Linked DNA regions of Arabidopsis thaliana. The protein of the gene in region 1 interacts with the protein of each later gene in a pairwise test. Each region holds a gene or a part of one and is shown on either strand. Other genes may lie near its edges.

What was found.
Region 2: the proteins of LBD25 (region 1) and AT3G01030 interact in a two-hybrid assay, tested with the Arabidopsis thaliana proteins (one large-scale study listed by BioGRID).

The regions. Positions count from the first base shown.
Region 1 is NC_003074.8:10,236,299-10,241,201, reverse strand, and holds LBD25 (LOB domain-containing protein 25), read right to left. Parts: upstream 2,689-4,903; 5' UTR 2,472-2,688; coding exon 2,388-2,471; intron 1,252-2,387; coding exon 856-1,251; 3' UTR 554-855; downstream 1-553.
Region 2 is NC_003074.8:4,949-8,432, forward strand, and holds AT3G01030 (C2H2 and C2HC zinc fingers superfamily protein), read left to right. Parts: upstream 1-1,708; coding exon 1,709-2,824; downstream 2,825-3,484. Other genes in the region: ISU2 (ISCU-like 2), read left to right, coding at 191-479, 588-642, 798-945.

The DNA.
Region 1 (4,903 bases):
CTCATCAAAAAGAAAAGTTCCATTTGTTATTTTCTTCTTTTGACAAGATTAGTTGATTTGTATGTAAATATATGTGGTTGTTAGTTCGCCCCAAATGACATAAAATTATAAAAGGACCGACTTTAAAAAGAGATTCCCTATGAAGACATGTGCCTAAATTAAAGCTACAAAATTTTGGTGTTTCTAAATTGATTAATTTATTTAAACTTTTTTCAAGTCGACAAATATATAAAATCACTCAATTAACTTAAAATATTAGCAACTTTGTGTTTCTGACCAGTGACTAGTGTGTGTAATCAAACAACCAATTATTAGCCTACATTCCTATGAGTCTATACAAAACCGTCGACATGAAATTTTATTCTTTTGAATATCATAATACAATAGTAATATTGCAATCACAATTCGTTGAATGCAACTTTATAAAATGCTAGAAAATCTGTCATTAATCAATGAAATATGTGTACATACATAATTTAGAACATAAATCTTTTAGCAGAAACTAAAAAACTTGTGAATAATGACCAATGGGCCACATGTAAATCAGTGGAGCTAGATCAAGTTAAAGAGAGTTATGGAGATATGAGCATGAGCAAGATCTAGTTATTCAACATCATCAAAAATATTCCTTGACCTCTCCCATGAAAAAAAAATTACAAGTTAAATTACACATACGCATAAGTATATACATGAAAATAAACATAAATATACATGCATGCATGTCCCCATATTTACACATATATACATACGACTAATAACACTTACCATCACATCAACCATCCTCTCTCTCTTTATACTTCTCCGCCGCTAATTTTCTCAAAGAGTGATGATGACTAATCAACTCTCGTTGACCAGTCAACCCCTCCGACCACCATAAGCCGACGTCGTTTCACCACCGAGACAACCAGCGTACCTCATGAGATCAGCATTTGTCTCCTCGAGTTCCCTTTGCAACCTCAAGACCTGTCTTTGGAGCACCGAGATCGCTCCAACGCAGCCATACACTGGATCTTTAAGTCGTGCTTCCGCCTCGTAAGCCAGCGAGTTGACCGCATCTTCCCGCTGATGGGGAGCCACTTCGTGGAGGATCTTGCTCACATTGCTTGCCCCGAATATCCGGTGGACGTTCGCAAACTTTGTAGGTTCCTCCGGCGGAAAATAGGGTGCGAATACGCAGTCTGACGTGCATTTACGCCGGAGGAATTTGCATGCTGCACACGGTGAGTTTGTGTAGTTCGACATATATATCCCCTGATTTTTCAGTTGCAAAAAAATGGCAAAAACGATTTAATCACATCATAGTATCTTATTAGTAATTCTCGAAACTACAGTATAAGATTGATATGAATTTTGATCCATATCGATCGATATTGTAATTCTCTGGAGTCTCTTCTTCTTCTATATACATCAATTATCAATATCTTATCAACAATATGTCTACGTACACTTTTTAAAAATTGATACAGTTTCAAATGTTTTATTTCCATTTTGAATTTGGTAACTAGCAAAGTAGCAATAAAATGGTATCATCATCAATACAATATAACTTACAAGACGTATGATGTTCTTAGTCTTTTAATCCTCAAAATTCATTATATTCTACGTAAAATGGTAACTAGAAATAATAGTCTCATCATCAATATAACTTAGAAGACGTATGATGCATGTTCCTATCTTATTATCCTTAAAATTCATTATTCATAGTGTTCTTTCTGCGTCAAAAAGATGTTATACCACCTAAATTTATATTTCAAATATATCTCAAACAAATATATACATCCTTGTCTAATGAATTAATTTTACATAATTATAAAATCTTGGGAAATTGAGAATAATCCATACTAAAAAGTTATTGGTGAATCTAACACACAAGACGATTATGGGAAATTATATAAACTTGTGTAACATTACACATTAAAATGTAAACGTCCATATGATATTCATAGTAATATGAAGAAAATGGGTGTCGGAAATTCGAATTACTCACACAGGTTTTACGTTTTAGAGCTAGTATTAGTTCTAAACAAACAAACAACATGTTCTCATCAAAGCACTCTCTGTCTCTCTGACTCTGAGTTCCCCACATGTACTACATATTAGTTTGAATCTTGAATTTATGACCGAGTTTTATTACCTGCTATATAGGATACTTTCACTGTATATTAGAAGTCCCGAATTCCTGATTTCACTTTCAATTGTAACTTCTTCTTTCTTTTGTAAAGAAAAAAGGTCGTCCAAATTATAACTTGGTAGTTCAAGACCAGTGATCAAATTTTCATGATCTAAACTCTCTAAATTTATATAATCAATCAACATATATAGAAAGTATATATATTATGCAAGTGTGAGTGAATTGGCTGTACAGAATGAAAAACTCTTGGTCTTACCTTTAAATGGATCGCAACAAGAAAAGGTCCTTCCTTGATAACTTCTTGAGAAGGTTTGATCTTCTTTGTTTCTCTCTTGGGCATTAATTATAAGAAAGGAGAATGAAAAATCTTCAAGTAGATTTTGCAATTATTGGGATATTTTTGTTGTTTTCAGAGAGGAAACCCTAGTTTGAGAGAAAGAGGAATCTCTCTAAGGGGAAAGTTAGAGAGATAAAGAGGAGACATGGGTTGGATATAGAGAGAGAGGGGCAAAAGGCATTTTTGGTGCGATGAGAAAGAGAAAGAAGATGAATATAATGAGATTACAAAAAGACAAATTGGCCTCAATTAATTGAGGACCTAAAATAGTGAACTTAAGAAAGAATAACTCTGACCGTGGCAAATTTTACTCCATTCAATTGCTTTTAGTAAATAACTAAATATACAACATATTTTCTATCTTATTTTTAATTTTGACAGCATAACGTATTTTCTATTAAATTTTAAAAAACTAATTTATAATTTTTGTCAACTAATTTATTAAAAAGAAAAAAATTAAACGAGCCATTAGTATATAATATTGTTTATATATGTGATATGATACGGTTCAGTAAGTATGTAAAATATAAAAGCGATAATTTGTCATGAAAAAATACTCTTTTATTATGTAACTTAAGAATATATGAGATAATTTAACAATGAAAGAAAATCAAATGATAGTAAACCAATACTTTCATGTATTTAAATTAAGGTACAGCCATATACCCTCAGGAGTCCGAACCATTTTATAAAGAAACTAATGATAAACCTTAATTAGTAAGCTATTAGTATTATTTATTTAAAACTAATGATAAACCTTAATTAGTAAGCTATTAGTATTATTTATTTACCTTTGACCTTTCCACGTTTTATTATTCCGTAAAAAAAAAATGTTTGTGAAGTCTTTGGACCACTTAAATATATTGTTTAAACTAAATTTCAGAAAGTTTTGGGATACAAACTTACAAGAACATCAGAACTATTGAGGATCTGAGCAAATCCGACATGTGTACTGTCATTTTGCTTGATTGAATTTAACTGTTAACGTCTTGATTTTACTGTTTACATTTCTGAAAAATAGTTATTAACTTTTACGTTCTTTTAATTAGTTGATGTGTTCATTCAAAAAATTTGACATACCCTGATGGTTGAGCCACATGCTTGAATCCAAAAAAAAAAAAAAGTTTCTATAGTGCATAACAAAGAAAAGAAAAAACTGTAATCAATTTCTATTTAAAATTATACCGTCATTTTCAACGAATATAGATACCATTCACAAAAAAGGTTGTTGTTTGTTGGATAACTCTTGTGGTTGTATTATAGATCTTATATTTCCTATAATTAAAATATTTAGCGACTTAGCATAGTATTGGTCAGCTACAACTTTAATCATCCAACGAAATTAAGACCTAAAAGATATACCAAACAAAGTAGTTGATATATAATTATATATCCTTTCTAATCCAAGTGCACTTACAAAATTAAAATGATATATATAAGTGATGATGATACCAAGGCATTATTGTTTCCATAAACATATATATGCTTCATATTCCATATAAGTGCAATATTTGGTAGCAAGTGCGTATATAGATTATACCAATGATTAGATAAGATAATCAATCATTGGCAAGCATTATTTTACGTATTTCTTGTAACGATACTTTACGTATTTCCTGATTAGATTTCAGTGTATACAGATATGCTTCATATAGTATGTGTACAAAGAAAGTATAAAAATAATAGAAAATTGAAAGAAAAAGTGAAGAAAATATGAAAAGAGAAGGACCAATTCAGATCGGAAAAGAAGAAGCACTTGAATACGCATGCATACAAATATCCCTATACGGCTATACATAAATATATAAGATCAGGCCTGGCGAATGAAAATGTATGTCTCTTATCGTGTATATAAAATAAGCTAATGTGGGTCGACCAAAAAAAGCCAAGACGTCCAAGAAACGAAGAAGCCAAGATAGTGTGTGTGCTAATTAATTATGTATCCATTTTAGAAGAATTCATGTATATGCATAATGCATCATGTATGTATCATGCATGCACCTAGAAGTCCTATAACTAGAAGTCGGTATACTTTAATTATCAATTGGACAATTGGGATAACAAAACCTGGTAAGTTCTCTATATACATATATAAACTTTATAAATAAATAAATAAATGGTTTAAATGTAAGTATAGCGTATACGAATAATGAAAATTAAAAGTGATGTTATACGTTAAATTTTTCGAACTAAAAATTTTCGATAATTATTTTGAAAGGAAATTTGACAATAGCTTAAATCCTAGAGAAAATTGCATGGTTGTTACAACAAAATTTATACAGGATATGATCGATTAACTAACGAATGAATCCTATTAATTGCGATTACTTTTGAGATTAATTTATACCTAGCTTGATCTCAAGTTTGTATCAACCCATAAAACCAAATGTACTTTTGTGATTTAGTTATCATAGGTTGGGGTTTTGTGGATTGGT
Region 2 (3,484 bases), about 10 Mb from region 1:
GGTTTGGTTATTATTGCTAACTACATTTTCATATATAAAGCTTTTAGTGATTCTGATTACTGATTATCGTGGAAAATAAAAGAGATGATTAATTTCCAATATTTGTTATAATTCTCACCGTTCACGTGTCCCCTCGACATCGCATATATAACAAAACTGCCCTTGATTCCGGCAAAGAGAAAGAGAGAATATGATGATGCTAAGGCAAACGTCGAGAAAGGCTTACCTAGGGTTACAGGCGTCTCCTCTAGGGTTAGGTCGTCGATTATACCACGAGAATGTAATCGACCACTTTGAAAACCCTAGAAACGTTGGCTCCTTCAACAGGAATGACCCTAACGTTGGCACGGGATTGGTAGGAGCTCCTGCCTGCGGAGACCTCATGAGCCTCCAGATTAAGGTCGATGATTCAGGTCAGATCATTGATACTCGATTCAAGACCTTTGGCTGTGGCTCCGCTATCGCCTCATCTTCCGTTGGTATGCCTTCGAATCAGGGTTTTCAATTTTGATCGATTCGTTAAGAGGCTCATGATCAGAGTCAGGTAGATGTAGACAGGTTATAATTTGTATATTTGTTTGGTTCAGCTTCTGAATGGATCAAGGGCAAAACCTTAGACGAAGTTATGACCATCAAGAACGCGTAAGTGCCTTTTAACCATCAAAATCATGTCTCTTAGATATATCGTCAGGATTGTTATCTCTAACTCTGTTCTAGTGCTTGGAATATCCCAAATCTAGTGATATGGTTAACATTTTGATGAATGAGTCATTGTTTTGGGATTCTTAAATTTGCAGGGAAATCGCTAAGCATCTTAGGTTGCCACCGGTAAAGCTACATTGCAGTATGCTTGCAGAGGACGCTATCAAGTCCGCGGTCAGAGACTACAAGGAGAAGCAAGCAAAGACTAATGCTGCTGCTGCAGAAGAAACCGTCAAGGCCTGATGATTCCACTTATACCGCATTGTGCTGCTGCTGATGATGAATTACACAAACTTACAAAGAGAGGTGTGTTTGGTTGTTTTAGTTTTTCTCTTCTTTTCAAATGTTTATTTAAGTGCTTTGAATAAAAATAGCTGAGCATGTGACCCAGATCCCAAGTTTTTTCTGCATTGTGATGATTCCTCTTCAATGTCTTATGGAATAATTTGTTGCTGTGATATTGATAATTTTGATCATTTGATGTTAGACATAGCTGTGAGATTATAATGACACAAGCTTCAGCCTGAACATTCACAAAATAAGATCAAGTCACCAAATAAGGGCCTTAACAAATGAAAAGCCCAAAGCCTTGCCACAGCAGTCACCATTTGTCACGTCGAACCTTCTAACTGAAACAAAAGTTCTCCTCCACTTCTTATAGGCAAAGCAATTTACGAAAGTGCCCCTTTCTTCTTCCGTAGCTGCTCTCACTTCTCTCAGTGCTTATTGATCTCTCTGTTTCCACTTTCTCTCTTGCTCGCTCTCACTCTCTACCTCTCTTCTCATTTTCCCAGAGAACTACGAAAAACCAAAAATTTCCTTTGTTTTCTTCTTAATCCGATTGATTCAGAGCATTACGTATCACTCTTGCTCAACAGTTATTGCTCAGTCTCCGGCGATTTCTTTTGCGTTTTCTCGAGAAAAGTAACGGAAGATCGATTCTTTCAACTATTTCTACCCTCATACTCTTCGCCAATCATCTCGTCTTCCAACAAGCTTCGTTTTAATGGAAGAACAACAAGAATTTGAGAAACCCATCTTCGAATTCCGTCCTAAGAAGCTCAGAACCTCTCGAGTTTCGAGAAATCTCATGAAGAAGACTGGCTTCAGAGAATCTATGAATCATTACGAAGAGCTCTCTTGCAACTACGGATTGAGGGAAAACCCGAAGAAAACCCAGAAATCTTTACTCGATCATCGATTCTGTACGAGGAGGAGGAGAAATAAAAAGATCCTGATTCGATGCAAAGAATGCGGGAAAGGGTTTCTTTACGAGAAATGTCTGTTTAATCATCTCCAAGTGACGCATTCTGAAGAATCTACAAGAAGAAGCCTGTTTTGTAGGTTTAGTATTGTGCAGAGGAGAAAAAGATCGAAGAGAGTTTCCAGGTACAAGAAGATTCTTCCTCGATTCTCTGTTTCTTCTTCTTCGTGTACTATGTTTCCTGTTTCTGTGGATGATGGAGGATTATTAGAAGTCGCTGAGTCTCTGATTCTCTTGTCCATGAGTGGTGGAAAGTTCGTGAATGGTTTGGAACATTTTGGTAAAGCTCTGGGTTCGACTCAGAGAAAATTTGAAGACGGGTTATTGAGAAATGAGCAGAGACTTGTTGGTGAAGCTCTGGATTCGAATCCAGAGGTGAATTTGAGAAAAGATGGAGACTTTGAATATGGGCTTTTGAGTAATGAGCAGAAGAAACTTGTGGGGATAAGCAGAGCATCTGTTGGAACATCGAAAGAGCTTTCGGGTTACTTGGCAAACAAGAAGGGCAGAGAAGATGATGAATTGGGTCAGCAGAAACAGGCTGGAGCAAGAATACTTAGAGAAGAAACTGATAACGAACAGAAACTTGTTCGTCAAGAAACTGCATTTGAAGATTCAGTATCAGGATTTGAGATGAATATAGAGCATCGGTGTGGGCTCTGTCACAAGGTTTTCTCGACTTATCAAACTCTTGGTGGTCATCAGACGTTCCATAGAATGAGAAACAAATCCAAAAGTCAAACCAAGAGATGCAGAGAAGAATCGATAGAAGCTGAAGCTGGGATTAATAATGGTTCAGTGACGTTGACAATAAGTGCAGAGTTTGCTGAAGGCTGTTTAGGTCAGTACATGCTTTAAGAGGTTACAAGAAGTGTCACCACACGAGAGCAAATGATGGAGAGACCTTTAGATTCCATGTGGATGTTTCTATGGTTACTAGTGGAATATTTGAGCAGGAGTACTGAAGAAGAAGATCCCCTCTAATGAATAATGAAGTTTTGGAATTTTTGTTGTTGTTGTTGTCTAATGGAGTTGTGACTTGTTGTATTTTCATACGTAGAGAGGTTTCGTCTTTGGTTTTCTCAAATGGTTTGGTATTCAAAGTTGTACAGCAACTTGTAGCTGTGTTATGGTTTTAGCATTAATCGTTCTTTCAAATCTTTTTCCCTTAAGTTTGTGCATTTTGAATGTGTTACTAATATTTTGAATTACAACAAAATCTTGAGGAGCCGAATACAATCATAAACAAATCAGATGATAAAAACTCGTAAATCGTTTCTAAATTGTATTCAACTATACAATATATTGGTAATGATATTGCAACTTTAAGTTGAGAGATCATACTGGAAAAAGTACAGTATCTTTTTTTTTTTTTTTTTTTTTGACCGTATCATATCGTGTCGGTTGGTCTTCGCATTAAAATTAAAACTTTTCAAAATTAGTATGACGAATATTCATTATAAATGAAACTAAATACACATTCCTTTCTTGCGTATATTAAATGACTACGACAGAAAG